Lytechinus pictus: one gene and its partner. The protein of the gene in region 1 purifies or fractionates together with the protein of each later gene. This does not show direct contact. Links are inferred from orthologs where the notes say so. Each region holds a gene or a part of one and is shown on either strand. Other genes may lie near its edges.

Region 1 (16,910 bases):
AGTCCGCGTTCTTTCTTGCTCAAATTTGATGGCCACTGGTAGTAACAAGTAATCCTCCCACCCTTTCTTTCATTCACCCTTTATTTTGCGTGTCAATTACATACACAGCATGCTGATTCTAGCAAACTCGCTTGCCATCGCATGCAGTCATTTTTATTCTCTTTAATAGTTTCCTTATTTCGGGGGCGATTTTCTTCGTTCGAAATTGAAAACAAATGAACATTGAATTTCAAAATACAATATGCCTTTGAAAATTTGATTAAATATCAAATACCATAATTCTTAAAGGCCTACTACAGGCAGAGCTGCTCTTATGTAATATCACAGCTGTTGTTTATGGTCTAACCCTCAGGCTTGCCTATGCGGAGGAGAAATATTACATAAGAGGGATTATCAAGCAATTCAGGGTTGATAGCGCTTGGGAATGAAATATCTTGGTTCCTCCGTGACGAAGATTTTGTTATCGGGGTATATGACAGAAGAAAAGCCCTGAGCTATTGCGGTCGCCTCTCCAACGAGAGTTTGACGTAATGATTAGTGTATTTTCAAAGATTTGCTAAGGTCAGATTGTTATTACAGTGATGTTCCTTCACTATTGGCTTTAAAACCATTAACATGGCATGAAAAAACTTTGTGATACCGTGAAATAACAACCACCACTAAAATGGGTCTAGCTAGAACACTGCATCCAATATAATATAAACATTGAATGTGACAAACCTGATGTCTGCATGAGGTAGACACGCCCAAAATTGGCAGCTGCGCCGACCAGGAAGACCCCCGCCAAGAACGTACACAACCTAGTTAACCTCTTCATCATATCATCTCTGCTGCCCTCTTCGCTCGATGTATTGTAGATGGTGTCTATAACTTTGCCAAGGGCAAAGGGCACTGCTATAGTGACAGTACTGGATATGAGTAGGAGTCCAATAGCAACTATATTCAAGAAGATAGTGATAACAAATAGACTACATGTTATAAGCTTGTAATATGTATCCCTGTCAAACGATTGGCTGAAATCTATCACATGACCAGTAATTTTTTTTAGCTAAAAGAAAGATTTGCTAATGACTGGTACTAATAACTAGTTATCCCAAATTTTCATTTTCAACAGTAATCCAATCGGTACCCTATTTTTTCGTACTGGAGTTACTCAAGAAACAGAAATTGTTCTATTCTTCTTCATCAATACAAGATATTTCAACAAATATTAGAATGACTTACCGGCAAGTCTATATTTCTCAGGTTCTGCTAAGGACAGCAACCTCCAGATTTCCGATCTCTTTGGAACCGTCAAACTAGGGATAGGTTCATTCTTGGTCGAGTCTGCTCTCCTGAACCCGTTTCTTCTGACTGACGAGGAGTGAAAAGTTCTCCTGGAAGTACCGACTAGGGCACTCCATCTTGAAGGTCTCAGTGTTGACAAGTAGTACTGCTTTATAGTCCTTGGGAAAATCCTGCAAGTGCAGAAGACCCTTGCTGGTGTGAAAGACGAATGGGGAATCGCTATTGCCTTTCCTGGGAATATCCTTGAGGGAATACATTTATGGCAACAATCAAGGCATTGTTTTGTCCTGTTCATACTATTTGAGATGATGCATTTGCCATAGACGGGTAACCGATGCATAAAGGTGGAAGTGCCCAGGAGATACATTCTTGAGGTAGTTTACCCTTGACTGATGAATGGACTTCCTCTGGTTCTTCCTTCCTGAGACCAGATACCTAGTCATATAAGAGAATTTAGGTAATTTACTGACAAAGTTGTTATTTTTGTGTGATTAGTAATGCCACATTCACACCAGAGAACCAATGCCAGGCAAAAAAAAAAAACATTCTTCTTCATCCGGTTATTTTTCAAACCCCCAAAACACAAGTAGCCTATGGAGAACAGAATTTCTCTACCAAACTGACCTTTGATCTTGGTCATGTGACCTGAAACTCAGGCAGGATCTTCAGTGATACACCATTACCCTTATGCCTAAGTTTCATGAACGAGGTCCATATAGTTTCTAAGTTATAACATTTCAAAAATGTACCTTGGTTAAGATTTCGATATATTGATTCCCCCAACATGGTTTAAGATCATTGACCCTAAATGATCTTTGACCTTAGTTATGTGACCTGAAAATCAGGCAGGATGTTTAGTAATACTTGATCCATCATCAATGAGACCTCAAGGCTAATTCCAGGCAGTGGACACCACGCTAGACTGATAAATCTACTGTTTCTTCAGAGTTTTTCAACTTTTCTGATCTTTTTTCTCCTCCCGGGGAGGCCAGTCAAATGTATTGCTGTAGCTGTACACATGCATGACCAAATTATTTCCAAACACCCCTTAAACAAGTTTTTTCTCTGTGTGCAAAATAACCATGTAAACAAGTTTTTTGCAGGCTTTATCGCCAAAATATGACCTTCGTGAAAAAGCTGGTCGAAAAACATACCCTATACTTGTTTGGCTATTCTTTAAAAAAAAAAGCTTTGGAAAAAAATACATTTGACCCTGTGATTGACCATTGACCATTCTTTAAAAACCACCTTTTTTTGGAAAATCTGTGTTTTTGATACCCTTTCCGAGTGCATGCGCGGCATGCGTCCAAACCTGAAAAAAAATCACCCCTTTCAACGCGTTTTTTAAATCATGCATGTGTACACTGTACAGCAATATATATGACTGCCCCCCCCCCCCCCCGGTTGTCCTCCTCCTACACAGACGGATGATGGCCATTGCGCTCCTAATGGTGGAGCTCCACTAACGCCCAAACTACAGCATCATGGAGAAAAGGGTGGGCGCACCCTCCTCGATTACTCCTAAATTTTGCTTTTTGACGGGGGGAAAAGGAAGAAATAATAAAGATAAATTTATAGTAAATAGGAAAGACTTCGTTATGTCCCCTCCACTAATTTTAAAAAATACTTCTCTAAAACCCCCTTCTATCGTTTTTTTTCTTTTTTTTTGTACTTCCGGTTGGAACTTGGATTCGAACCTCTCGCTGCAGAACGAGGCATCTCCAGTCTGTCGCCTTACTCACTAAGCTAGCAGGAATTTTTCAAAGCCATGGATTTCATAGCGGTTATCAACCGATATTACGACTAGTCTACTCTCCAAGAGTATTGGGTATTTATTTTTCTGACGGAATGAACCGATGCCATTGAGAATTACACACGCTTGAGATTTTGACGGAATAAAGCCATATTTTGGTATGTACAGTATCTACCTCAGGCGATGGTTCGTATCTAGGCTCCACTACACTTTCAGATTCATGTGGATCGAATTACCAAACTCCAAAAAAGTGCAGCCCGTTCGATCCTGAGATGTCACATATATTATATCCCCATCTAAAAAAATGTTTTCAAATCAATTCTACATTGGAAGGCCTTCAAGTACAGAATCATTTATTTTCGATATATATTTGTGATATATCGAATTATATATAATTGTGAATAATATATTTTTTTTGCATTTTGTCAATTTTCAACATCACAGAAGATTGCTACAGGCTCTATCAAAATATAAAATCATTTTAACATAAGAGGGAGTCCTACTCCCTGACCCTAGTTTAGACATAATTGTGCATAACTTAGAACTCCTCAACATGCTTAAGAAATGGAATGACATTGGTAAAATGCTAATAAAGAAATTATGAAGTTTAACTTAAACTTATAAGCATATGCCTAACTAGATCAAGTAATAAGTTTGTAGACCCTATTGAAATTGAGAAAAATCATGATCTAACTTAGATAACTTTGGTGCATCAATGATTATCAAGTCAACTAAGCATGTATTGCCATTGGCTTTTGAAATCAGTTATCACACCATCAATTGGGACCTTTCGCAGTCCTCACGGACGCTAATATTAGGGACCCCTAACACAAAAGTTAACGCTTAATCATACACTTGATTTTTAAGATTGATTGTGCATTATAGTCAATAGAATCAAACGTAGAAAACTGCTCTACGATCAATGCTAAGCTTTGTGTTACAGGGGGGTTACAGGCCCTACAGATTTGCTTTTCGTGTGCAAAATCCTTTTCCGCGACACCCACCATACATGCATGTATATTACGACTGATGGCTGGAGATATTCGAAATGCAGGACCTAAAATAGATTATGACATGGATAAGAAAGTGGTTTTTCAAACAAATTGAGTACATATTGAGTGAGGAAAAACTTACTGAATGAAGGCTTAGATATAGATCATTACAGTCCATCGAATCGATATTACATTTGATGTGGATTATTGGTGGATCACTGGCAATTGATTTCATGGGTCAGATCAACCTCTCCAGCCGAAAATTCCGCGCGCGTTGATATGCGCACAGCATATGCAATACGTTTGAACTCGTTTCTTTTGTTTCTTTGTTTCTTTTGTTTCTTTTGTTTACTCCTTCTACACAAACGATATGCCTCTCGCACACGATGTAATGGGCATTATGTTTTTCTTTCCCCAGAAATGGGGGATTAGATTCAAATTCCGGGGGGACCACTTCCATTGATGAGTGGATACCAGGCACGACCATGAGGTTTCGAAAAGTACCCTAAACAAGGGAAGCAATTCTTTTCCAGATTATGAAAATGCATCTCTTAACAAGTATTTGGCTTGTGAAACCCTACAAGTATATATATATCCCTTTTTTTCAGCATTTTAAACATCGTTTTGACACCCTTATTACGTTACATAGGCCTATAAGTAACGTACCTGCCCACTCTGTCCCCTTTAACGCGTGTTCGCTCCTGGTATCCACTAATCAATGGAAGTGGGCCCCCCGGGCGGCCTCTCGAGCTCTAGGAGGAGTCAAATGTTGCTTTGGAAAGTCGTCCTCAATCGGATATATCGCTGTTACCATAGTAGCAACCAGAATTTTGCACACGAAACGCATATTGAATGTTTCCGTCGCAGATGCGAAACGAAAAAAATAATCTCATGTCACACAATTTGCATTGCAGGACAGAGTTTTACGACCATGATGACGGGCCCAAAAAGTCTCTTCCAAAATCAACTACCGTCGTAAATAAGCGTGCGCGTCCTCAAACGAAAGGTCGGGAATATCAACAGAGTAGAGGTCTACGCATACATGTATGCTACGTTAGGCCTTTAAATTCTAAAAGTTTCTTTGAAAACTACAAAAAATTGATTTTAATTTCAAACCATTTCAAATGACTAGACCTAGTGGAAGAAATCGTCGGTCCATAAAACCCAACCCGTCCGGACATGCAACAACCAGTGGTAGGATGGGGGCACTTATCCAATAATACAAGGCCATGATATGTAACCTTGTCCTCAATTAGTAACCCCTGCGTGGTGAAATTAAAAGAAAAAGATTTTAAACGTTTGGGTTATTTTCTCTTGATCTAGACTGGATAAATACTTGATATTTTGGCAGTCAGTTTTTACTACAGTAAATTCATCATAAAAAAATATGCCTTGGCCCAAAACTAAATGATATTTTTTTTTCTAATTAAAAAGCGAGTCTGTGAAGATGAAGATCTGCATCAATCTCTAATACCACCAATAGAGGGTCTCACAAAAATATGCTCAAATGAAAGGTTTTGAGCGCTCTGGTGAAAAAAATTATTTCTAAGTCTAGAATGAAAACAAATCATAACTGAATGGATCTGAGATTTTTTTATAATCACAAAAGTTTTTGAATGTGCATTGTATGTTGCATAGGCTCACCACAGACAGGGTGGTTGAAGAGTGCAAGTGGATGGGGTGTTTCCACTCTTCCCGAAATTAAGGAAATTTCGACTTTCCAGGAAAGGTTTTGGAAATGAAAATATTCCAGGAACTTCAGGGAAATCCAAAAATTACAATCACTGGCAGATCCCCCCCCCCCTTTTTGAGAAGCAAAATTGAAATTTGTCATGTAAAAATACTGTTAAAACAGAAGTGTGCCCCCCCCCCCTTTGAAAAAGAAGACATTTTTTTTTTGCTGGTCCAATTTTTCCTTGGATAAATCATAATGTGCATGCCTCCCCTTTTGGAAAATCCTGGATCCGCCCCTGATTACAATTAAACGACAATTAACCGTAACAACTTTTAAATATTCATTGTAGTATTTAAAGATGATCCGGCCATCCTAAAGAGGAGAAAGAATTTGGAACTGAATACAGAGTCATAATGACTTCGTTCAGTATGGTTGGAACTACCCCTTATCGACCACCTAATTTTCTAAGAATCGTATCTGCGAAAATACTTATCAGTTTTAACCTAGTTTTCGTCTCATTTGTGCAGAAAATTGAGCAGATCAGATTCCCACATTTCAGCCGATTCTTGTTGTGGTGGCGAAATATTTTGACTCTTCCAAATCAGTTCTATGATGACAACATGCTAAATGATCATCTCACTACTTCCACTGCGAGCTCCGGCACATGATTCGACAATTGGAGACAGATATTTCTTCTAAAGCCGTTTCCTATCGGATTTCTTGGTATGAACAACTGTTTTTTTGGCAGGGTTCGGGTCTAGTAAAAACAATTTTTATAAATTCTACTAAATTTTTACCTTTTACCCCTTCTTTTTCTCTCGTAAAATTGATTCTTACCGTTCCAATGGGCACTGCGCCTATCTCCCGCGCGTATCGTTTGTAATATATGCAATAATTTTAATGCGTGCAAGGTGGTCGATATGTGGTGGTCCCACTATATATTCCCTAAGTATCCTAAGAACAGTGACAGTCAGTGAAGTAGTAAGATTTAGATCCAACATAAGATCTACCTCCGGCTCCAGACGTAGGCTCCGTCGTCGTAGCTCAAAATTTTCTGCTCGCGCTCTGCGCTCCCATTTCATAATTTTGTTCCTATTTTTAAAGATGGCATGAACAAAAAAATGTTAAATTTCTTGATTATGGTCACTTCTTCTTGGACCAAATTTAGGCTCATTGTATGGCAGTGTGTCCAAACTTCGCGCGTGTCCATACTTCGCGGACGGTCATTATCTAAAAAACTAGCCAATATCCTTTAAATCTGACGTAATCAACGTGAAAAGCGACCTAAAATTACCCTTTGGTGTAAGTTTCTTTAGGATGAGTTCAGTATTCATGAAAATATTGGCAAAAGATCGGCAAATTTGTCACCGTTAGCACTTGTTTTGAAGAAATCTGATATTTTCAACAAGCATCACGATATCACCATTTTGCAAGCAGAAATCATCAAAAATGTGAGTTAAATGTGGTACTAACCGATTCTATAGCATTTTGCCATCGATCTGATATAAATATTTCACTTTTTGAGCTTGAGTTTTTGTTTAAATGTCCACAAAAACTTTGGTCCGCGAAGTTAGGTCACACTTTTTCTGAACGGTTTTCCAGCACAGCGCGCATTCGCCGATCGGAATAGAATTTTGAGATCGCGATACCGGCAAATCCCCTTGACCTACTTTACATTTTCGTCCATGATTTTATAGTTTACGATCTTGCCGTCAATGTGGTTACTATTTCTTGAATTGGTTTTGTATAAATTAGGAATATTTTGTGAAAATATTTAAGCCTGATGAATATTTTTGAAAAGTGCCCGAAGTTTGGACACCCCATCATATTCCCTGATTTTCGTTAAAAATCAAAATTGAAAATTCCAGGAAATGTCTATTAATTTCGGGAAATTAAGGATTCATTTTCAGGAAATTTGTTTTGGATCTGTGGAAACACCCATTGGGGGTTGGTGTCCGAACACAGAAGAATTGCTTGAGGCTTGAGACTTTGACTTGAGACAGTCCTGGGCCTGGCTCACTCACACTAATTATGTTTATCTCACTTCTCAATATGACTCTTATTTATGAGACAATAAGTCTAAGTTTCACTCTAATCTAAGCCAAAAATATAGGTTGAATAGTGCTTATCACCATGATCACCATCATTATTTGTTCTTTATTAACATTTTCTTACATTCTGTGCTAATAAAATCAAATAAATTGCTTGTAAACTTTTCATAACTAAAAGTAAAAGTCATGTGTCCTAAGACTGAGTCCTGACACACAACCACCGGGGTATATCAACCACCGGACCGGGGTATATCGGGCTACTGAGCCAGCGCGCGCCGCAATGCCGGCTACGGTTGCCAGTCCCATACTGTATTTTCACTGTCATGTTTACGGATCGAAATTCATTTTGGAACTATAATTAAGAATTAGTAAAAAAGCATGTTGAAATTAAAAATTATTGCAAATCAATCATACCGAAATGAACCACATAAAATTGTCTTTAGAAACAATCAGTTTTTTTAATAATAACAATTGTAATTACCTGAAATTTGCTGTCGAAAAATTTCCCCACAAACTTCGGCCTTCGGAGCCGGAGGTAAGGCAAATGACGGAGACTTCCGGTGTCGCATCCACCGCACCGTCGAACAAGATAGAAGGCTTCAGTCCCATATATTGCCGAAAAAGAGTGAGATTTTTATCACAAGAACTTCCAGATTAGTTTAGCTTGACCATGGATGAAGATCACGATCAGAGAGTGTGCAATGTTCCCTTCAATATTTTTGGAAGGGGTGGAACTGGGAGTGGAAATCGTAGCGTCAACGATGTCGATGAGGAAAATGAAAGGTAATCTGGCCGGGCTGGGTGGCGGATCCTGTGCAACCTCCTCTCGGCTCGAGCGCCGTTGTCTGTCGCGATCGCCCGGCGGCCCGGCTGCATCAGTGCGCGGTCGCGGCCGCTAACTAGCCAGGATCGAGGCTCCTAGTCCTAGAGAGTAAAAATCATTTACTAACGTGGTAGGATGGGGGGTCGGGTGTCCGGACACTTTATATTTTTGAAGCCTTCTTTTTTGTATTTGGATTACACTAAAAATATAAATTCAATACTTGTAATCATCTTCTATTTTGTTCTTTATAATATTTCCTAACATATAATTTATGAAACTTCGCTTGTAAATTTTTCCAATTCCAAATGACTTTCTAAAATTGATCGTCCGGACACACAACCTGTCCGGACACACAACAACTGGGTATATGCTTTACTCTCCACGGAGCCAGGGATTTGATTGCGTCCCCATTCATGCGCGTGTACCGCGAAAAAAAACTGAAACTTTCATCCCCGAGATTTCTACTTTCCTTCTAAAAAAGCTCTAGCCCAGCTAAATCATGTATGGGATACAACTTAATTTCCGACATTTCTACGATATTGATTTCATTTTTAAACAAGAATTCATTAAAAAAACAAGAAAAAATATTGTGAAAAGATGGGGAAAACTTGCCAGTTGCCACCATGTTTACGTTGCCATCTTGATTTCTTTGTCTTTCGCCATGCAAGGCCAAGGCTACATGCCTACAGCACGCATATGGCGAAAGACAAAGAAATCAAGATGGCGACGTAAACATGGTGGCAAGTTTTCCCTGTCTTTTCATATTTTTTAATGAATTCTTGTATGAGAATGAAATCAATAGCGTAGAAATGTCGGAAATGAAGTTGTATCCCATTTGATTTAGGGCTAGATCTTTTGGAAGGAAAGTAGAATCTCGGGGGCGAAAGTTTCATTTTTTTTGCGGTACATGCACATGAATGGGACGCAATTCCTGGCTCCGTGGAGAGTAAGCATAGGTTGGTAAAGGATTTTTACTCTCTAGGAGCCTCCTGGCTACGCGTAACCAACGAAGAATAGCGGGGGTGAACTTTGAATTGAAGGGGAAGTTCACCAACACAAAAAGTTAATTGTATAAATAACAGAATTTTTTTAATCGGACATTTTCTCCACTAAAACTAAGGTTTGAGGATAATCCATCGGTTATGATCAGTCTCAATTTCTCACAAAGTCAAACTCAAAGCAAAAACTAAAACATTGTCAGTGACACTGACAGTGTGGCCTGTGGTTGAACTTGAACTTCACCTCGTCTATGATAACTGTCGGTTGTAGTACTGATTTTTCACTTCATTATTTTGAATAAAAGTTTGCACTTACACCCTGTACATTGATTCCTTACCCCATCATCTTGAATAGGTAACCTGTCAATTTGTGATTCCAATTTTAAATTTATTAAGTTAGATCTACATAATATGAAAGAAGTCGGAATCCAGCCTGCGCAACACTTGTGAGAACATAAATTTGATGTTCAAACTCTAAAATTATGAAAAGTTAGGTTACATTTCCATGTTATATAAGACTGGGACTAGATCCTCATAAAAAGAAAAGGAAAGCAATATTGATTTACATAATTAATAATCTGATGATTAAGATGAAAATTGTCATGCATGTTTGAAATTAATTCTTGTCTACTAATTTTTATTGCTTTTAAGACTAAGCTATTTATTTCTTCTTTCACTGTTTTTTTTTCTTTCTGAATGTAGCTCTGAAGATGAGTTAGATATCATCCTGAATGGGACTCCAGAACAGAAACGTCGTTTGACGAGGAGCTTGAGCCGAGGCAGCCTTCAGATGTCCTCCAGTGAAGATGATTTTGAGAAAGAGATGGAGATGGAGCTGGATGCAACCATGAAAAACCATGAGAATCAATTCAGGGTTAATGGTGAGTTAATGTATAAGGGAAAGAGAAAATCCCGGTGGTGGCACTACCTATTGGAAGGTGTAAAGCATGATCATTCCCCAAGTCGAAAAATTCTCCCTTTTCGCATGGTTTCAAGTACATTTGGAGCAATTTTTATTTTATTTTTATTTTTGGGTGAATATGTACCTCAAAAGAAACAGGGGATGAAGAACTAAAATTTTCTACCAGCAGACAATCTGTGTCCAAATTACCACCATTCTGCTTAGCTCCAATGCTAAGGAAACTAAGAAGTAAAAACTTGGATTGAATATGGTTATTAATATTTTGAGATGGGCCCTGTCAGGCTGATAATTGATCAGTGTGACTTGCAACTTTGTGACCTTAAGGAGTTTGATTTAAGTTCTAAAAAATGGCTCATTAATTATTCATAATGCGAAAGACACTTATGAATAATCACAATAGTAGAAGACAGGGCTTGAATGAATAGCAGTAAGTTGGTGTCTAATTATGAAATATTTAGTTTGAAACTGCGTTAATCATACGTATTCAGCCCTTTTTTTTGGGGGGGTAGAAGCAACCAAAAAATTACACGGGGGCGGCGGGCGAATTCGCCCCGGAAAGTCCAAAAAGAGCCCCGGAAAAGGGCTAAAAACATTCACACGAGGGCGACTGCAAAACTCATAATCGCCCCCGTCAACTAGGCTTGGGAACCAGCGCCGGGTAATCGAGTCTACCCGATTCTCAATGCCAGAGTCGGGGAGTCGACCCTGATCTCTGGAGACTCGAGTACCAAGCGGCGGCGGTTCTGAGATAAAGGGACTCGAGTCTTTGCCATGCTCTCTCATTCATGGACGAAAATCGGCCCCAGCGCCGACTCCAAGCACTGAGATAAAATAAATGTAGAATTTGGAGCCGAGGAGTCATACACTTCGAGCAGAACGTTTCTCTGCTTGTGTGCTTTAGGCTCAGTGTGACTGCATGTGGTATGGGGATGCATCGTGTGCATTGTGTGTAGTGTGTATTTCTGTGTGTGTGACTGTAAAATGCCAGTAGAGACCACGTGCGCATGTGTTGAGCGACACTTGTGATTGTATCATGAACTGGGATTTGTGTGTGGATTGTGTGAGAAGTTTGAAGGTGTAAGATTTTGGGCGACTTGATAGATGATTGCTCCCCCCCCCTCCCATTTATGTACACTCTCTAGCCCCATGTCGAGCTGCAGCCACCCATCTTGATCCTTCCCCCCAAAGCTTGTCTCTCCTCATTCCTTCTTTTCTTCCAAACTTTATTTCCCTATTATTCTTGTTAATTTCTTCTTTTACAAGTTGTAATTCACTACGAACTTCATTATAATTTTAATGAAGTGTTTATCACCTCTTGTTTGTTTTTAAATATTTTTATATCTCTGTTCAAAACAAGAGTCTCGTCTATCCCTTTAAAAAAAATCACGCTTTGATTTTTTTTTCTTTCATTCAAAAATCCCATTGATAACGTTTGCTTGCTAGTCTTAAATGGGAGTCTTGCCTTATTGGAATATTGGCAAGAAGTTAATAAAAAAAATGATGTTATTGTTCTGTCAGTAATAAAAGTAGAGATTCAACTATGGATATTTTTCAGTCATATTTCATTTAATCTTCGTTATTTTAATCCAAACATTCATTTTTTTTTCAATGATGTATTTCACCTTTGGCCAGTTCGCCATTTTCTTAAGTGACTGAAAACGTAGACTAGCCCCTTAATTCAGGGACATCAACCCTCGGCAATTTGTTTACATAACTTTCTTTGTCTCCGTCATGTATTGCACAATCTTGAGAAGCACATGTTTGGAAATCTGATATTCTTGTGGTGGTGGGGGGGGGGGGTACGAGATTGCCGCCCTTTTCATTCTGTTTTGGTTTGGCTGCCACATGGCCTCTCTCACTGTGTGGAGAAATTAGGTCAGGTAAAATTTGCAAAGACGTGGATAAGTTCATTTCAATTAGAGGCCGTGCAAGGCTAGGCATTCATGATGGATGATGGAAATTGCCAGTTTTGGTTCTGGTAGGCCTTTTTGTCATGAATCTGTGTAACTGATACGAACGCTTAACAATTCAATGACCTTTATGACTTGTATCATTATTTTGTATGAATAATTTTAAGTCTTTTTTTTAAAGTGTCATTTAAATAACTTTCAGTCAAATATGTACGAAGGATATTTGTTCAACTTCATAACATTTGCAGGTACCTATATTGTATGATAAAATAAATTACCTCAGAATTGTACAAATTCAGAACTTTCTTTTTCTTTTACATTGTCTTTAGACACGAATACAGATCTTTCTAGATTAATTTAGCAAATGGGCTATAACACTAAATAGTAAACACGCAAAGCTCACGTCAACCAAGTATCAAACATTCAAACTTGGATTAATTCATGGAGGTTCTACCTCCATGATCTAATCTGAATAGGTCTGTATTAGGTCCATGAATCAACTCAGATATCGTTCAAGCATCAAAATCAATCTATCATCACAACACTAAAATCATAAACAATCACTTCGAAGAAACAATGCGAAGGTCAAACCAGGGAAGTGTTATACTTCCCTGGTATATGCTAGCTACCGTGTATATATATACACACACACACATACACACACACACAAACGCAAAAAAGCCGCGAAATAGCTCCAGAAATTGTAGCCCTGGAAAGTGGAAAAAGAGCCCTGGAAAATGAAAAAGTAGCCCTGGAAAATTTTTAAGTTTCTCCAAAAAGAGCCCTGGAAAGAAAAAAAGTAATTTTTTGGTTGGGTAGAAGTATGGGCTAAATATATCTTTGAAAATGTGTCCCCAATTTTTAGTTGAGGTTAGTTATGCTGCCCATGGATGTATCAACATTGTGTTATTTTTAGCTCCTTCATCATTGTTTTATGATGACATGTGCAGTAGTTCCAAGGGTTATGTGGGATAACCATCATCTGTGTCTTCCTTATAATACTCTTATCATTTCTGGCAGTGGAGAAAAAGCTTTCTGCAGCAGCCAGATCCATTGCACAACAGAGGCAGTCAGCAGCACCATCAAGTGGACACCCTGGAGGACCTACTCAACAGCAGTGCTATGATGAAGTCTACTTTGACTCTGATGAAGAGGAAGAAGAGAAAAAGGAAAACTCTGCAGAGGGTGCGAAAGCAGGTGGTGGGGATGAAGACAAGGAGCAAGGTATGCCTATCCTTACAATCACAGCTTGCAGGTGTTATGGTGGTCGAATTAACCAATTGGCCCGTATTCTGAAGTCCGGTTTAACTTGGACCACGGTCTAACTCTGTGCTAAAATTATGGGAAGCCAAAAGTTCAAAAATTCTGTTTATATTGTATATTTCTTATGTTTACTATTTTGTTTCCTTTTGCTTTGATAATGAAGAAAAATACTTCAGCTATCATTCCCAGACAACTATGAACAATTTGGGTATCATATGAGTTGATATATAGAATGTGTATTGTTAGGGATTTGTGCTCCAATTGGCTCTCCGTAGTTAAACCACAACTTTAAACCAGGATTTAATTTAAACCCGAGTTTAGAATACAGGCCATTTGGTCTAATTGCTGTTTGGTCTACAATATACTTGGTCTCATACCCACTTTGTCTAATTCCCATTTATTCTAATATCCAGATGGTCTGGTCTATTTTTCAACGTTGGCTACCAATTATTTTGCATTTTGTCTAATGGAAATTTGATTCATATACAGTTCATCTAATTATAGACTAATTGGTGTTTGGCCAAGTTGATATTAAACAAAATTGATATATGTAGCCTAAATGTATTAAATTAGGCAAAATTGTAAATTGGCTTGATGGTAATAAGACCAAATGGTTAGTAGATAATTTGTTTGTAGATTAACAAGGATTAGACCATGTGGGATGAGACCAAATGAAAAGTAAAGACAAAGCAAGTGTATACTAATTGGCAATTTACCCATGAAATGGTTACAATATAGAAAATTAAGTTTAGACACTTTCAGACAGCAATCAGACCATATTTTATAGTAAATCTAATAGGATATGTTGAAAATGATTTATATTGTGCATATTTTTACCACATAACAACCCTGGATAGAGAGGGGCAAATACAGATTGATGTCTTGCCAAATGACGGTTGGCAGAGTATGAGTATGAAATAGGATGCATGTAGAAATAAAATTGAACTCGTAATGACACCCAAGGGTTAACTCTTAGACTAATAAAATATTTCAGTTCACATTTCCTATGGAGTGCTAGGATTCATCTTCTTTATTGAAAATCAGTGAAAAAGATAATGAACCAAAAAATTCATTGTGATTTCTTGCAGCCTGATGAATACCAGCTATTATATCCCTACTAAAGAAAATTTCATTTTGAAGTAATTCTCCCTGAAACAGCTTTCAACCATTTGACTTAACCACTTGCCTTCTTCCACTTTTCTTTGAATATCTTTACCATTTCCTAGCCAAAAAGCAACACCGCATTCCAACCAATGATGATCTCCTTTATGACCCCAACATTGATGATGACAACCAAACCTGGATGAACAAACAAAGAGCACAGTACTACCCTAAGAGGGCACCAAAGCGATCACATGACCTGGCCTCTTCAGAAAGTCCCTCAGGGACTGGCGCTTCTGCCCAGTCAATCCGGGCTCCCAAACCCGATCAGGCCGAAGGTGCAAAGAGTCAAGAGTCCATCCCCAAGACAGATGCCATCTTGAACTGTCCTGCTTGTATGACAACACTCTGCATCGACTGTCAAAGGCACGAACTCTACACCAACCAGTACAGGGCCATGTTCGTCATGAACTGCTGCATTGTCCGGAGCGAACAACTGAGGTATCCTGAATCCAAGAATAAGAAGAAGTGGAGGAAGAAGAGGCGGCATGAGGGGGGAGAAGTGGACGAGGAGGATGGAGGTGCATCCACTGGGGATGAACTCTTCCACCCTGTCAAGTGTGCGATCTGCAACACAGAAGTGGCCGTCCTGGACAAACAGGAGATCTATCACTTTTTCAATGTATTGTCAAGTGCTGCTTGAGGACGTAATCTTTGACTCTGGAGGACCCTACTTTTGGATTTCAGACATTTCCCAGTCCATGATTACAGATGTTCACTTATCTATTCTGACAGATGAACAGCAAGCATTAAACTTTTTTATGTACCCATTGAAAATCAGAGGATCACAGTTTCATGAATCCGTATCATATTTTTGAAGAATCTTGATTTTACCAGTGCATATAAAAAAGTGAAATCCAATATTCGAGGGCTCATTTTCAGAGATTATCAAATATAATATTTTAACTTTTTGAAAAAGTGACTGTTCAGCTTTTAGTTTGTTATGATACCCTGCCTGTACCTCTTGCACTAATCATGACTCTACTAATTAATACTGAATTAATGTTAGGTACAAATTCTATTTTTTTCCAAATTTCGGCATGTACATGCACTGTCCAATCCTGTCTAATGCATGTACTCTACTGAGTATTCAAATATAAATTCTAATGGCCCGTATTCTGAAGTCGGGTTTAACTTAGACCATGGTCTAACTCTGTGCTAGAATCATGGGAAACGTTTCAAATGTTGTTTACAGTGAATGCTTCTCATGTTTACTGTGCTCTTTACTACTTATTTAATGGTGAAGACAATTGTCATACTTATCCTTCCCAGGCAGTTAATAATGTTTTGGGAGTCAAATGAGCTGATTCATTGAACCTCTACCGTTAGAGATTTATGTAACAACTGGCTTTCCATAGTTAAACCACAACTTTAAACCAGGGTTTAATTTAAGCCTGAGTTCAAAATAAGGGCCAGTGAGCATAATTTGTGAAATGTGACTAGCAACCTGGATTGCCAAGCATTCTTTGCAATTTTTTTTTCAACTGTTTTTCTGGTTATTTTACAGTTTGAGTACAGGAGTTTTATCAAAATGACATTATTTATAGTATATTTTCACTTGTTCTACTTCTCATATGGTCTAATATCACAGGGGCTCAACCCATTTGGTGTGCTACGAACTCGATCTACACAACACTTGGTCTAATACCCCCGTCCTATTGTCATTTAGTCTATGCCCAGTCTGTCGAATTTCCATTTCCTTGGTGCTTGTGAATTTTTACTACGTCAAATGAAAATTTGGTTCATAACGGTACATCTAAATGAAGGGTTGTAGAACCATCACAGATGATGAATTGGCTACATAGCTATTACCAATAGACCAAATGGTTAGTGGAGCGTTGTGGCCCAGTGGATTAGTCTCCGGACTTTGAAACAGAGGGTCGTGGATTCAAATCCCAGCCATGGCATAGTTTCGTTCAGCAAGAAATTAATCCACATTGTGCTGCACTCAACCCAGGTGAGGTGAATGGGTACCTGGCAGGAATTTATTCCTTGAAATGCCGAGCGCGTAAAAGCTGCTTGAGCTACAGCCTGGGTAATAATATCCAAGTCCTTTGGAAGCGCATAGAGACGTT
Region 2 (16,910 bases), on another chromosome or scaffold:
TTTTTGATTTCTGACTTGTGCAGTTATTACATAATATGAACCGAATTCTCCAACAACAGCATAGCATTCATTTATTACAGAGAGCTATAACAATTAAAGCACAAGTTGCGATCTAATCCAAGCTATTTTAGTGTTTTATTGAATTAGATCTTAATTGCATATAAGAGCCAACAGCATATCAATACTTGTCTAGCAATTTCATTGAAAATTTGTGTTGCATCTTGCGTTGGGGGTAGTCGGGCCGTCTGCTTGCATTCTACCCAGTAATTTGTACAGTATGCTTTGTATAATCCGAAACTGCCACAGAATTATTCATATTTCTAAGGAAAAAATAAAAGGAAAATGCATATTAACTGCTTTTGTAGAACAAGAAGAAGAAAAGAAAACTTCTGTTTTAGAATGATTTTCAGAGCAAAAATGAATGTGATGTATATTTGTGTTTGCAAAATTTCCTCACAGCGCATAAAAGATTACAGAAATAAAGTCCAATAATCAATAAAAGAATTTGAAGATTTCTACCAGGTAGGGAGATGGTGATTGGTCACAAATGGTTTGAAATAAATTACTTAATGTCGTCTTGAAATATTTGCTGTGCCTTACAAATAATGTGTTTTGTGTTTTAAGGGTTATTACATTCCATTTGAAGTGACATTTACACTTAAACATTGAAAAGCGCCATCTTATGTTGGGATTCAGGAAGAGTGTGCACTGATGTTGACCCATAATGCAACATTATACCCTGTTCTAAATTATTATACATTGCCTAGCAATTTTCAAAGTGAAAAAATAACAAGATTATCTCAACCCATCGGCAATCAGTACCAATTTTTTTAAGGGCTATAGAAATTGTGCAGAATAAATGAAAATAAAGGGGGGAAAGGGAAATATGAAATGCTTATAATTAATAGTGATCACTAAAATTATTGAATATATTGACAACATTTTGAAAACTGCAAATTCGATAATTTTCAATTTATTCTGATGCAAAAACTTTAGATGTTAAAAAAATCACAAATGTAAGGAAATACTGTTGCCAATTTAAAGATTAAAAACATAATTGAATAACACTTCAAAAAGTTCATTGACCCCGACATACACATATAAAAAAAGTTCATTGACCCTGATGGATCAACACAAGTGCACTCTCCATCCAATTCTCGCATTAAGAGCCGTTATTCAGTGTGTTGAGTGAAGATCCATTTGAATAGAAATTCTGTAAAAATTCTGCCAAAGACGATAATGTGCCCATCTTCAACGTGATATGGCATTGATGATGAAATAAAATGAAATCAAAAGGAGAAGTTGACAATCATGATCAACTCTTATCATCGGATTGCTTTCAAATTTTCTACTATTTTTTTTGCATGAAACTGCAGCAAACTAATCTGCTTTGAGTAATCGTTCTTTTTTCTGCTCCCTCAGCTTCTAGCGTCTTGTAGAAAAAATATTGAAAAAGATTGTTAAAAAAAAGGTTAGCTTGTTTATTGTACAGTATCAATCAGAAAGTACTTTAGCCAGTTGACTTATGTAATTTTTCTTTTTGATTGCATTTATCATGTTTAAGATTGTACATTTTTGGATATCCATTTATATTTGTGAATATTGTAATTAACATTGAAGATGTATTAACTGTGTAAGTTGTATCCATTTCGTCTATAAATATTGTTATCTATTCCTTGTTTTTTGATACTGTAGAATGTATGGTTGAAGCAGTTACTTCGGCCAACCAAATGGGTGCAAAATGCCATATGTAAATATTTTTTTCTTCTTAAAATTGGTAAGAAAAGATTGCTTTTCCATGCTGATTATTTTCTTTTACGAAACAGCATTGTGAAGATGTTATATTTTTCAGGAATTGTATTGAAACTGAAGTGGAGTTTGTTTTCACGTTTTGAACTTACAAACAATTTTTGTTGGAAACTCGCTGTAAGTTTAGACCAAGGTCAGAGTTAGAATTTCTCAATGTGATATTGAGAGGCATGTCTAGATGCGTGAAGTTATTTGTAGATGGATTTTCAGATAGTTTCCTTGGTTTATAATAAAAATGTTAACTCTTCAACAAAATTACACATTTAACTCATCTTACATTTTAGGACCTTGGAGTTATATTTATATGTTTGTTAAAGGGAAATAATCTTCCTTATAATCAGACATAGAATTTTCAAATTTTTTATCTTGTTGTTATCTAGATTTCGTATTAAATCTAGATGATGTTTATTATATATTATTATTCTAGTTGTTACCTACTAATGTACTTATCTAATAATCAATATTTTCTGTAAAAATTCTGTTACTCCTCACAAATGTCTTAGTGCGCACCTTTTATAGAGACAGAGATTTTCCGTTTTACCGGTAAATAAAACAGAAATTCTGTAAATAAAACAGAAATTCTGTTTGATTCTTATACTTTTCATGTAAAAATTAATGGAATTCACCTTAGCAAAACGGAATTCACGTTTTTGCTGTGTACATTTTCAGCGACAAAACAAAATTTCCATTTTTAGATCAAGTTGAAACGGAAAATACAATTTTTTTTTAAACGGAAAATCACTGTCTCTACTTTTATTAAACTTGAGTGGCATACTGCTTGAGCTGAAAGAATGCAGTTTCCGAGAAAATCATTGTTTTCAATTTATTTTCAAGTTATTAAAGTCAGTGATCTATTATTGCTATGGCGACTTTCATGGAATATGATTGCACAGATTATGAACGGAGACCTTCTCAAGTACCTTTTTATTCATAATTAGCTTTTAAATAAGAATATCAAACTTTTGTTGCTATGTTTCTACTAGTCTACTCAGAATGTATTTTGAAAGAGCATGTTTGTTTTGCAACCATTTATTGCATCCATATTTTTTGCAAAGTAAGAAATATCTAAAAGGTTTCAGGACTTTCAGAGAATAAATGTAATAGCAGTTGCCTATCAATTATTTCACTTATAAAGCAATTTGTTAATCTTTGAATGGTGCCCAATTACTTCTTGGTGATGATTGAATCTATTCCTGACATGATTTGAACTGTAGAAGTGATGATGCACCCATCTTTTATTTAAAATGGTTCACAATGTTTTGTTTTTGTAGATATAAGGTATGATTTCAATAAAGTGATAATGTACATTAATGAACAAATTATATTTATATGCTTGTTCTGTATACCATATGTAGTTGTGAGTTGATAAAATTTTGTCTTGACATTGCTAATTCATTCTCTCTCTCTTTCTCTCCCTCTTTTCCCCCTTCTCCCTCTTTATTCACTGTCTGTTCTCAGCTATTTCTGTTTCTTTCTTTCTCTCTCTTTCTCTTTGCTACCTTTTCCTTTGATCTACCTGTCAATTTTATTCTTTAAATGAATAGATACATGTACTTGCAGCTTTTACCATAAAAACCCATTCAGATCTAGTGTGGAAATCATCATCAAGGAAAAAAAAAGATGTTATAATAATAACATACCGACAAATGATATGCATGAGCAGTAATACCAATATTACACATATTGTAATTGAAAGGCATCCCTTTAGTGGGTGTAATGGTCTACACCGGGGGTCTTTAAAATGTACACTTCTTTGGTATAAATTAGTCAATCGCCGTTCTTTGCTCGGCCGCACAACTGCTTTCCACCCTGAGTCTGGATGGGTCCATAGAATCTTGCTCATTGTACATGAAAGTGTATGTGGTTTCTCAAATACTAAAAAAATTCAGCAATTGCACCATTGTGGGGGGGGGGAGAATGGCCCCTAAAAAGTAATAATCCTAACCTTGCAGGCATGTTATGAGTTAGCTGTATAAAGAAGTAGAATAATTCAGGAAACTTCCTGTTTAATACTGTTCTTAATATTTTGGACATTGAGTTCAGTGTGTATTGTATGAAATTCCATGTGTACTCATTCATTTTAGTGGAATCAAATATGACTTGGAATGGATTCCAAGATGAATATATTCTGAGTTGAAGTACTCAGACTTGAGAAATTGATTGACTCAATATCAGAATAGTGTGACATAAACTGTAATTTAGTCAACCCTAAAAAAAAAAAATTCTACTTTTAATGAGTAGACTGCCATCTGTTGCCATTCAATGTTACATGTACCTCGGATTCTGCAGAACAGGGAGGTTGTAGCTTCAAAGAATGAAATTTCCTCGTGAAAGGTGCTTTTCCAAAACTATCAAGCTTGGATGATGTAAAGCACGCAATGTGACATGCCCCTCTTGGGTCAGATTGCACAAGCTACTATTATTTGAACATTAATTGTACGTATCACATCTATAAATTTATCCACATTGTGCTGCACTCCACCCAGGTGAGGTAAATGGGTACTTGGCAGGAATTTATTCCTTGAAATGCCACCGTTCTGTAATAGGCTGTGGGGCTATAGCCAGGGTAATAATATCCAATTAAGCGCATAGGGACGCATTTGGCAGTGATATGCGCTATATATTAAGCATGCTGGTAATATTATTATTATCTTTAATAATAAGTGTCATTAAGTATCAAAGAATGATTTTTTGCTAAGATGCTCATGGCCGTAAGCAGAATTTTTTGGCTTTTTCAATGAAATAAACTTAATTCGAGAGAGCAAAGCGACTGAGCTTGTCATTGGGGCGCCTCTGCATTCTGTTAAATGAAATAGAAGGATTTGTGCATACATGTACTTTTGGTGAATTTTCAGTTAAAAAATGAAAGTTTGCCCCCCCCCCCCCCCCCCCCCGCTGCGTATGGCCATGAGGTGCTTGAAGTTTGATAATTATGGATGGTGTACAGAACGCAATGTGACATTCCCCTAGCTTATGGGGTCTATCAAATTGTACATTATTTTATTTGTGCATTTCTTGTACATATTTGATTGTATAGCAAACATTTGGATACCAGGCATGTATCCAGCATCAGATCCTACAAAGCATTTCATGGGCCCAATTGTCTGGGGACAATAGTGACTCTATTATGCTTGTGCATGGGCCCATACATTTCTTGGTCATTGCTGATGCTGGATACGCTAACTATATATATATATCATTGCATATAAGAAGATAAGAGAAGACTAAGTTTAAAGACTAAGTCATGTCCATTGCTCTTGCAAAAACCATTAATTGTATTTTGTTTTTAAGTTGAACAATATTGATATCCCCTCTATTTCTCTTTCCCTTTTTGTTAGTACCTTTCTTTAATATTTCTTCCTCGCTCAAGTTTTTTTATTTTTATTGTAGTTCAATCAGTGATAAGTCTTGCGATTGATTGCAAAATTGTAGTTTATTAGTGGTTTGTTTCTTGTAACTGCAAGTATCTTCTTCTTAGCTTTTGTTAAAAGTTAAATCATTGATTGCAAATTTACAGTGGAATTAATTTGAGTACAAAATATGTCAACACTCCCCCAAATAAAATTATTGTTTTGGGGGAGAATATGACCCATGTGAGCTGTTATCAAAAGAATATAACAAAAATGTACTTCAGAAGTCATAGGCAGTTTCTTAAATGATGGAAGTCAAATTAATATTGAATGAATTTTAATACAAGGCACCAAACATGAAGAGACATATGGGTCACATTAGAATTTAGAGGTGATGTTTTTTAGAAACACTGAGATCTTTGCAGAACATTAATGCAGTCGGCATGCACACATTTCATTTTTGTAGAAAAAAAGGAGCTAACAGAATGAGAAAGTAAGCATGGTAATGAAATTGATTTCATACATAGTTCTCAGTGGTATATCTTCAGGACTCGATATTTACTCTGGTCTGTAAGTTTTTATTCTCATCTTTATGTAATTCAAATTTCAAGTTGTTTTAGAACTGCTAATTATTGCTGATCATTTCACTGTTCATATTTGGAATAAAGTGTTCTAAGCCAATAAAATGTTTTAAGTGTGTCACCTATTTTGTTGTTTGTGTAAGATATAAAGAAATAAGGATATGAAGATATGATAATGAAGATGATGAAGCTAATAATGGTGATAGATCATAGTGGTGGTGGTGATGATGATGATGATGGCGGTGATGGTCACAGTGGTCGACGGTGGTAAAAATGATGGTGATGATGCTGCTGTGGTGGTGAATAATGATGAGGATGAGGAGGAGGAAGAAGATGGTGATGGTGATGAGGAAGAGAAGGATGATGATGATGGTGATGGTCACAGTGGTCGACGGTGGTGAAAATGATGGTGATGATGCTGCTGTGGTGGTGAATAATGATGAGGATGAGGAAGAGAAGGATGATGATGATGATGATGGTCACAGTGGTCGACGGTGGTGAAAATGATGGTGATGATGCTGCTGTGGTGGTGAATAATAATGATGAGGAGGAAAATGATGGTGATGGTGGTGATGATGATGATGATGATGAGGAGGAGGAGGAAGAAGAAGATGGTGATGGTGGTGGTGATGATGATGATCATCATCATCATCATCATCATGAACATGATGATGATGATGGTTACCTACTGTGAATGGATATGATGAGGAAAACATGATATAAACATGAAAATATGATGGGGCAGAGTATCATAAAGGCCTAATCCATTCAGTTGTAGGGTGATGCCAATATAATTGTATTTATTCCCAAAAGTTAAAAATAAATATATGTTTGAAAATAATCAGCATTATATTCCTTAACAAATTTCCAGTAGATAACAAAAAGAAGAAATAAAAAAGATATACTGGTTGTGGAGGAGTGGTGATGACTATATAGGCCCTATGTTATTTTTATCATTACCATGTTTTCTTGAAAGAAAACAAAACACAAACTAAAAAAAAATTGTTCTTGAAGAGATAGCTATACGCTTTGATATCCATTTCCCTTCCATCAAACCATCGATGTCTTCCCAATTATTAAAACTTACATTTATAACAACAATGATAAATATAAAGACCCCCAAAAACATTCTAACGTTCGGCAATACAAAAGAAAAACTAACGTTAGCCAACGTCAAACTCAATGTTAACCTTTGTCGACTTCTGCTCTAGCGCCAACTACCGTTTGGCAAGTTAAGAACCGAACCGCGCAACCGGCTACTGTATATAATTTCACATCATTTGGCAGACGATTTTTTTTTTCAGATCCTTATCACTATATTACACTGGTAAGTAATTAAAAGCGTTTGGTTTTACAATAATTAGGAATTGTAATGAATAGGCATTGTCTAAATATATTTTCATGATCTGTGACTTGTCTCAATACATAGAGCCGTAAAAGTAAGAACTATTTTATGCTGAGATAAGTCGTAGTCCCATTTGTACACTTCTGTGTTTGTTGCAGACGGAGACCTGGTTTAGCTTTGCCTTTGCCTTGGCTTTGGCCCACTCACACGTATTGCGAGGTTAGTATTAGTATACTAACCTCGCACCACGAACCGCGTTTGGCAGTGGATTTCTAACTTGTGGGTCGCACGTGCTGGGATCTCACTTCTTGGGTCCACAACACACGACTTCTATGGCTTGAATTTTCTGTGCGCGGCGGCATGTAATGAACCCTTGGGTGGCTTTGGCCAAGTATTGTTAACGTTAACTTAGACCAAAAGCTTCGGTCTCTGTTATGTTGGTTGTTACGCTGAACTACGTTGGCTCCACTCACCAAATACATATGTGTATGAGGAGAAATTAAAAAAATCAAAAAATGTTGAAAAACTCCGCGAAACAGACGGCTGCCAGCTGTCTAACGTTAACTGTACTACTGTAGTGTTAGAGAATGAGTAACGTTAAGGAGTTCGATGGCGGCAGATCTGAGCCCAAGATCGTTGACCCAATAAAACTCGTGGGGCTAAAATGGTCTTAATTTTCATGTAATTATTTTGAATAAGATGAAAATTTGCAGGCATTTGAAGCTGGACTGAAACTTGAAAGAAATGTTGAAGACAGAAATGAGTGTGTGGCGCGCCATGGCATGGTCATGGGCGGAAATCCCAGGGGGGACAGGGGGGACGTGTCCCCCCTACTCAAAATAGTAGGGGGGACACAATATCAAATGTCCCCCCTAATGTTGTAAATCGGATCAAAAATCAGATCGAAAATCGGATCGGCAGTTAAGCTTCTAAAATCGAAATCGAATCGAAAATCGAATCGGCGATGTTTAAAAACAAAGGAATACATCAAAATGTTGTTCGCGGTCGCGCGCATCTTCCTGACAAAGTCACAAAGACGAATGCATTATTGGAATGGAAGTCGCCAACATGCGCGATCGTTTGGAACGTGTTTTAAAGCCAGGGGTTTTGAGGTGTTATTGCTTTAAAATAAACCGAGTGATTTTTATTAGAAAGATAAACGAAAGACGCATCTTCCGAGCAAAGGCGCAAAGGAAAATAAAATGAAAATATTTCTCATAGATCACAGGTTAATGAACGATCGGCGGGACATCTTTTAGAAGTATTTTTAGGTGCTAGCGATTTAGAATTATTGGAATGATCTCTTACGACGCATCATCTTAAAGTCGCAAGTGCAATTAAAATGTAGTAGAAGACGCAAGCACGCACGATGATTTGAAATATGTTATTTAAATGTTTTGGGTAGCTAGCGTTTTCAAATCAATTTGAAGTTCACGGCGGGGTCCGCTATCACCACGAGGTTGAAGAGAAGATGTCTATCATCATAAAGGGGATAAGAGAGTAGCGCAGTGAGCTCCGTCGGTAATACAACCTTTCAAAGTTCACGGCGGCATCCGCTATCACCACTAGATTGAAAATAAAATGTATATCATCATAAACGATGTAAGAGAGTAACGCAATAAGCTCCGTCAATAGTACAGTCTTTAAAAGTTTATGGCGGGGTCCGCTATCACCACGAGGTTGAAGAGAAGATTTATATCATTATAAACGATGTAAGAGAGTAACGCAATGAGCTCCGTCAATAGTACGACCTTTCAAAGTTCACGGCGGCATCCGCTATCACCACGAGGTTGAAAATAAAATGTAAATCATCATAAACGATGTAAGAGAGTACTTAACGCAATGAGCTCCGTCAATAGTACGACCTTTCAAAGTTCACGGCGGCATCCGCTATCACCACGAGGTTGAAAATAAAATGTATATCATCATAAACGATGTAAGAGAGTAACGCAGTGAGCTCCGTCGGTAATACGATCTTTAAAAGTTCACGGCGGGGTCCGCTATCACCACGAGGTTGAAAATAAAATGTATATCATCATAAACGATGTAAGAGAGTAACGCAATGAGCTCCGTCAATAGTACGACCTTTAAAAGTTCACGGCGGGGTCCGCTATCACCACGAGGTTGAAAATAAAATGTATATCATCATAAACGATGTAAGAGAGTAACGCAATGAGCTCCGTCAATAGTACGACCTTTCAAAGTTCACGGCGGCATCCGCTATCACCACGAGGTTGAAAATAAAATGTAAATCATCATAAACGATGTAAGAGAGTAACGCAATGAGCTCCGTCAATAGTACGACCTTTCAAAGTTCACGGCGGCATCCGCTATCACCACGAGGTTGAAAATAAAATGTATATCATCATAAACGATGTAAGAGAGTAGCGCAGTGAGCTCCGTCGGTAGCACGATCTTTCAAAGTTCACGGCGGCATCCGCTATCACCACGAGGTTGAAAATAAAATGTATATCATCATAAACGATGTAAGAGAGTAACGCAATAAGCTCCGTCAGTAGCACGATCTTTCAAAGTTCACGGCGGGGTCCGCTATCACCACGAGGTTGAAAATAAAATGTAAATCATCATAAACGATGTAAGAGAGTAACGCAATGAGCTCCGTCAGTAGTACGACCTTTCAAAGTTCACGGCGGCATCCGCTATCACCACGAGGTTGAAAATAAAATGTATATCATCATAAACGATGTAAGAGAGTAACTCAATAAGCTCCGTCAATAGTACAGTCTTTAAAAGTTTATGGCGGTGTCCGCTATCACCACGAGGTTGAAAATAAAATGTATATCATCATAAACGATGTAAGAGAGTAACGCAGTAAGCTCCGTCAGTAGCACGATCTTTAAAAGTTCACGGCGGGGTCCGCTATCACCACGAGGTTGAAAATAAAATGTAAATCATCATAAACGATGTAAGAGAGTAACGCAATGAGCTCCGTCAATAGTACGACCTTTCAAAGTTCACGGCGGCATCCGCTATCACCACGAGGTTGAAAATAAAATGTATATCATCATAAACGATGTAAGAGAGTAACGCAGTGAGCTCCGTCGGTAATACGACCTTTCAAAGTTCACGGCGGCATCAGCTATCACCATCTTTCCTCTTAAACATCGCCATAGATAATACCGCGTCTTTCTCCCTGAATAATGCGACCTCTAAATAGCTAGCACCTCAAAAACAATCTTGAAATATGTTCTGAGCGATCACGCACTGTAACCAGATCTACGCCGATTTTTTTTTTTCGATTTTTTCCTTCAAGGGGCATGATCGAAGATCGGCAAGTGATTGCCGATTGTGGTGAAATCGAATGGAATCGGTTGCCGATTGCAAAATCGGTTACAAGCTTAGTCCCCCCTACTATTTTATGATGGTAAGAATACATCATTCTAAATCGAAATAAAACATGTATTTTGGGACGAGATGACCATACTTTTGGGATGATAACCTTTTTTTTGCTTGTCAAATTTTCCCGCCCCTTGTCCCCATAGGCGGATCCAGGGGGGCCGAGCCCCCCCCCCCCCTATTGGCGGAGCAAAAAAAGAAAAAAAAGGAAAGAAAGAAGGAAAAAGGAAAAAAAGGAGGGAAAAGAGAAGATAAAAAGAAGAGAAGGACGACGAGTGCATAAAATAAAATGAGGGGAAGACTTGGAAAATAAAAAGAATCTTTCGTGCCACTATATAAAATTTTCGCTCGCGCTTCGCGCTCGCATTGCCTGTTAGGTGATTTACATATCTTGTTCAATATGGAGCTCAAATATCAAGTTTGGAAGTCAATATACAAAACATATTTCACCTCAGAAATCGAACTTTCATTATTTTGTGTGATTTACAAATTGATTTTTAAAAAGTGCTCTGTAAAAATGTCAGTTTTATGGTCTGAATAATTTTATCAACATTTGCTGCTTGCGCTGCGTGCTCGCAAATTTTGATTTATCAGGTACCTATTATTTTCGTGTATTCTATAAAGTTGTCAAAATATCCCTTTTCAGGTCAGTCTGATTGTCAAGACGTATCAGCTAGCGCTGCAAGCTGGCATTTTGATTGGCGAGTTATGTATGTTTCAATATTGATTATACAACAAACTACTTAAAATCCCCTTTTTATGACAGTTTATCAAAAATTTTAGCTCGCGATTTGCGCTCGCATTAATGGTTAAAAATATATTAACTGATGCAGCCTATTCATAATTACAAAGTGAAATTTCCAGTTTTTATGCCATAATATCATCAGATTTCGCGCCCTCATTGGGCATTAATAAATATGATATTAATTTAATAATTAAATTGTCCCTTTTGTTTCATCTCGCGCTTAAGGATGTCCCGGTCCTATGTCAAAACTCAAAGTGATAATAATGAAAATTTTTGCTCTTTTAGTGCGATCCATATCCACCTTACAATTTTCCTACAAAGTGCTTGAAATATAAAAGTGTAATTGACTCTTTTTCAGCTCGGAATATCAAAGTTTCATGATTTTCATGATTAAAGATGTATTTAGAAATGCCTAGATTCTAGGTCTAAATATGGAACACGCGCGCGCATGTTTATTCAAATACTCAATTTGTTCTCAATTTAAATCATTATCCAGTTTCAGATCACAATATCAAAAATTTTCTGCTCGCGCTTTGTGCTCGCATTATTAATGTAGGAAGACCCCCTATTACTCATCCTTTTCATGGTTTACAAAACATTGATTTTGATTTATTTATTTTATTTAAACACGGTAAAAAGCCCTCGATCAGCCTATGGCTGTTTACAAAACATGAACAGAGTGGCCCATTTTTAGGTCTAAATCTCGATTTTTTTTCTGCTCGCGCTTCGCGCTCGCATCAATTGTTGAATAATATAGCTATCCTGTTCACGATTACAAAAATTGATTAAAATTTAAGAAATTTTTCAGCTCGCGCTTCGCGCTCGCATTTTTTAATTGTTGAAATATGTAACGCCTTCATGGCTAAGTGCAAGCAGTCCTTACCAGGTACCTTTTCAACAGGTACCAGTTCAAAACGTATATAAAAATTTTCTGCTCGCGCTTTGCGCTCACATTATTAATACTCATCCTTTTCATGATTTACAAAACATGACTAGAGTGTCTCGTTCAGTAAATATTATAGGACTAAATCTCGAAATTTTCCGCTCGCGCTTCGCGCCCGCATCAATTGTCTACGTATAAACCTGTTCTGCCTGAGTTACAAAAAGTGCTTAGAATTTCCATTCTTTAGGTGAAAATGTCCAAAAAAAATCAGCTCGCGCTTCGCGCTCGCATTATTTAATTGTTAAATGCTAACTGCACGCAGTCTTTAACAGGTATCTTTTCCATCAGTTCATTTCTGCTCGCGCTTTGCGTTCGTAGTAATTATTAAGTTGCATACACATTTTTTTCAGGATAACAAACATTACCCAGAATGTTCAAATTTTAGGAAAAAACACATACAATTTCCAAAAAATTAGCTCGCGCTTCGCGCTCGCATCACATAAATAAGGATTATGATATTATATATGAATTTATAAGAATAAAGCTAAGAAGTGACTAATGAGGACTACCCCTTCAAAGAAATAAACACAAATCATCTTCGAGCTGCCGATCGGGGAAAATATGGCTGAAACGAATTTCCGCCCCCCCCCCCCCCTATTGGCGAAGGCTGGATCCGCCCCTGTGTCCCCCCTACCTTTTGGGAGAGATTTCCGCCCCTGGGCATGGTGCAGTGGGTGTGGTCAAAATGAATGAGCATAGGCGAATGATCGTAGGCGTATGATCCTTTTTTAATTTTAGGTAGACTTCTAACGTTAGACAGGACAGATCATGAAATGAAGTTAACTTTTTAATTATGTCAAAGTCAAGATTTGTTATTGTGCATGTGTTTTGTGTGTACTGTAATTAATAAATAATTACAGATTAGTGGTTGCAGACTGCAATTGATGCAAGTGATGCTATAATGTTAGGAACACTCAAGGTTTTATTATATGCTGCCGCACACAGAAAAATCAAGGCATAGTCATACTAGAATTTGTGTGTTGTGGATGCCAGAAGTGGTGTTGCAGCACGTGCGATCCACTAGCTAGAAATCCACTGCCAAACGCTGTTCTTGGTGCGAGGTAATAGTGTACTAATACTTGTACTAACCTTGCACTCGTGTGAATGGGTTAGGAAAAGAATCGAATTTAGTACCATATTAGTTATCATTTTATTCTAGATAGATCTAATGTTAGCTAGATTGTTTTAACTAATTACGTTTGCTAAAGTTATGTAATACCATGAATGTAATGTCTCTTTAAAAAGCCATTCATGCTCATGTTACGTCTAGCATTACTTAGTTATGGTCGCAAATATGAATCATCTGTTCATATTTCACCATAAAATAAATTAGAAATCACATTCTTTAGTTTATTTCCATGGATTACATTGAGAATGATTTTCAATTAGAGCATACATGCATACATTGTACCAGTCACAATTCTTGGACGCACTATTACCTTTTTTTTTTTTTTTTTTTTTTAATATATTAACATATATACAAGTTAATATACAAACACAGCACGCTTACAGAATTGCCAACACCTTAAGCTACTGTAACATTCAAAACATATTGGACAATACATGGCATGACTGAAAATTAGTTATAGGGCTTGAGCATACATGTACCTGTTGCAGAAATCTGAATGGACATTTGTATCTCTCCCATATGCCACCAAAGAAAAAGAAATAATTAAAACAAAAATAGAAGAGAGAAAGAGAAAAAAAAAAAATAAAGTTTGAAAAAAAAATGAAAAAAAACAAAACAAAAAACTAAACAATGAAGTCATATTGGCTTATCCATAATCCATAGATGAGATTGTTTTTTTTTTTTTTACTGTATGAGGATTTTATGGAATTGAATATGATGGGCAAGTTCCATAGTTCTAAGGGTCGATCAGACGACCTGTAGAGTCACGAATCTTAATAGTGGCTGGGTAGATTAGGATGGCTTTTGCGCCTTTATTCCGCAGCTCCTTGAGTAGTGGCATCTTCTCCTTTCTCATTTGTTGTACCTAGCGTGAATAATCATCGGACACGTACATCCAAACATCCTTGACCCCTCCAGCGTTGTAGGTGTTTGCCTTAAAAACTGAAATCAGCCTTTTCTTTGCAGCTTCCTTACTTAAGTAGGAGTTGAAACCAACGTGAATTGGCCGGGGCTTTCTGTTGGGATTTGTCGACATGAACCCAGAACGATGGGCCCTCTGGATGGTATTGGTAGCTGGACCCCCTTCACCAAGCAGATTTTTGATGAAAAGAACACAATCTTGGCTCTCTATCTCCTCTGGTGCGCCCCATATCACGATGTTGTTTCTGCGAGATCGATTTTCTAAGTCGTCAATTTTCCGTGTTGCTTCTTCCAGGGAGGTGGAGAGGGATTTGATCTCAGCTTTCATTGTATCCATCTCGAAGTGAATACTTTGATGTTCATCCCTGCACTCTTGGAGAAGACTATCAAATCTACTCTCCTGGCGTTTCTCGAAGGCCACAAACCATGCTGGTGGAGAGTCATCATATTGATGGCGAGGTTGATCACTGCCAGGCTGCTCTGCCGAGAGCTCCCCGACAGCTCCCCGACCCCAACTGGGTCAGATTTTGATCCATGCGGCCGTGCAGTTACGGAACTATATGTATCAACTTCAACTTTTTCTTTCTTCTTAGCAGGAGAATTTCCAGAAGAATCAGTGATAAGAGATGCATTTCTAACTATTCCCTTGGTACTCATTGTTGTTTCAGTGGTGAGATCAAGATGTAAATCAAAATATAAATCAAATGGGAGAGAAAAGAATACGTACGAACAGGCCTCACACTCTTGACACTTACTCCGCCATCTTGAAGCACCTCCCTATGTCGGACGCACTATTACCTGTTAAAACCAGATAACAAGATTCACTGGACCGAATCTATTCTCTGGTTTTAACAGGTAATAGTGAGTCCAAGAATTGTGACCGGTAGTGTATGTGGGCAGGTTCATGTTTAAGGATACTTCAATAAAAAAGTTATATCCTCTTAGCCAGGATAAAGACCTGCACTAAGTAAAAGTAAATTAGCAAAACTGAAAATTCCAGTTTATATTTCCATCACTTGTAAGTGATGGAAATAGGGAAAGTTTAATAGGCCCTCAGCCTTCTGAAAACAAGGCTGAAAACAGATGTCTGAAATGAGTGAGATAGTATGACACAACCCCACCTTTACTTTAAGTTTTTTTCATATAACAACTCTCATGAAATAAGTTGTTTGATTTTGTCTTGTTATGAATGATAGCGCCCGCCCCTCTCCCAATTGTTATGGAAGCAGATTACGCTTCATTTCCTTGTTCTTTCATTTTGCATTCAGGCTAGTCAAGGACATAATGGCATCCTCGTCAGGTAACATGGACCAGAAGACTGCCAATGTCCTGTTTGAGGAAGGTGCTGCTCTGGTCCTTCTCAACGTCCCTCCTGGGACAGAGTTTGGCATCGATTACAATTCCTGGAACACTGGCAACCGCTTCAAAGGAGTCAAGATGATCCCACCCGGGGTGCACTTTGTCTATTACAGTGCAGTGAACTTGAAAAGCAGAGACTGCGCACCAAGGACAGGGTTCTTCCATTGCTTCAAACCTCGGGAGATTGTCATCAAGAGATGGGATGGAGGGATTGAAGACTTGGTAGATGTGAAAGTGACTGATAGTTCCAATCAGGATGAGAAAGCTCAGCTTCAAGAATGGGACCCATTCCTCGGAGCTTACCCTTATGAGAGCCTGAAACGCTGGGTTTCTTTGACTAATCTTATCAGTGAGGATACTGTGACGCGCCTGTCGCCGCTGAGTGGACAGATTGTATCAGTGGCCCAGCTAGTCCCTGACATGGCTACCAGGACAACGGCAGATCGGAAGCTGATGGCAGAAGCCAACAAAGAACTCCTGAAGAGCAAGAATCCTGAGGACCACCTTCCTCAGATGCATCGGAAAGCAGGAACAGAGATCAGGTTCTCCAAGATCTCCAAACAGAATTACCCAGAGGGCGCAACGCCCAAAGAGATCACCAAGTGCAGCCTTGATCACACCTTCACACTGGACAAACTCCTGTTGGAGAACTATCCTACAGACTCTCAGGGTCTCCTAGCAGAGCTTCAGCTTGCCTTTGTCTGCTTCCTCATCGGTCAAGTCTATGATGCCTTTGACCAATGGAAGAGGCTTGTCCACCTTCTCTGTTCTTGCATTGAAGCAATGTCCACTCACAGTGGACTCTATTCTACACTGGTCAATGTCCTGCACTTCCAGGTCAGGGAGATCCCATCGGATTTCTTTGTGGACATTGTCTCCAGCAATAACTTTCTCACGGTAACCCTGAGAGATTTTTTCATGAATTTGACTCAGTCCGAAGCAGAGGGAGCACTGAAGGAGAAAGGCAGGAAGTTCAAGAAGAACCTGACTAAACATTTTACTTGGGATTTTGATGAAGAACCAGAGGATGAAGCCCCTGTTGTTGTTGACCTTTGAACTTTTAATTACTCTGCTATAAGGTCAAATTTCTCTTTTAGTTGAACATATTTGCATGGTCCAACATCATCGAAGGCTCATGCCACATTTTTATCCAATTTTAAGTTAAGCCAAAATACAGATCTACAGTAGATCCTTTTGTTTCACATTTATTTTTGATTAATGATTTCTACAGAGCTTTTTACTAACATTATTCGTCATCTGACAAGCTTTCAGATCTGACAATTTTCTGAATTTTAATTGGCTGACAAGCACAGGTATCTGACTGTTACTATGCCGTGTGGTAACTGTCAGATAAATCTTCTGACGTGTCCT

Evidence for each region.
Region 2: the proteins of E2F-associated phosphoprotein-like (region 1) and protein AAR2 homolog purify together in Homo sapiens (affinity purification with mass spectrometry; 4 studies listed by BioGRID and IntAct, counting the BioPlex papers as one, with this or other methods). This does not show direct contact. The link is inferred for Lytechinus pictus from reciprocal best matches to the Homo sapiens genes EAPP and AAR2.

Annotation. Positions count from the first base shown.
Region 1 is NC_087251.1:39,829,061-39,845,970, reverse strand, and holds the start of E2F-associated phosphoprotein-like, read left to right. Parts: upstream 1-7,946; 5' UTR 7,947-8,428; coding exon 8,429-8,541; exon of another isoform or gene 8,542-8,733; intron 8,734-10,281; coding exon 10,282-10,460; intron 10,461-13,431; coding exon 13,432-13,635; intron 13,636-14,900; coding exon 14,901-15,478; 3' UTR 15,479-16,910. Other genes in the region: ATP-binding cassette sub-family B member 10, mitochondrial-like, read right to left, coding at 721-936, 1,225-1,654. UniProt on the Homo sapiens protein: May play an important role in the fine-tuning of both major E2F1 activities, the regulation of the cell-cycle and the induction of apoptosis. Promotes S-phase entry, and inhibits p14(ARP) expression.
Region 2 is NC_087252.1:7,315,127-7,332,036, forward strand, and holds the start of protein AAR2 homolog, read left to right. Parts: upstream 1-6,958; 5' UTR 6,959-7,067; intron 7,068-15,448; 5' UTR 15,449-15,464; coding exon 15,465-16,595; 3' UTR 16,596-16,910. UniProt on the Homo sapiens protein: Component of the U5 snRNP complex that is required for spliceosome assembly and for pre-mRNA splicing.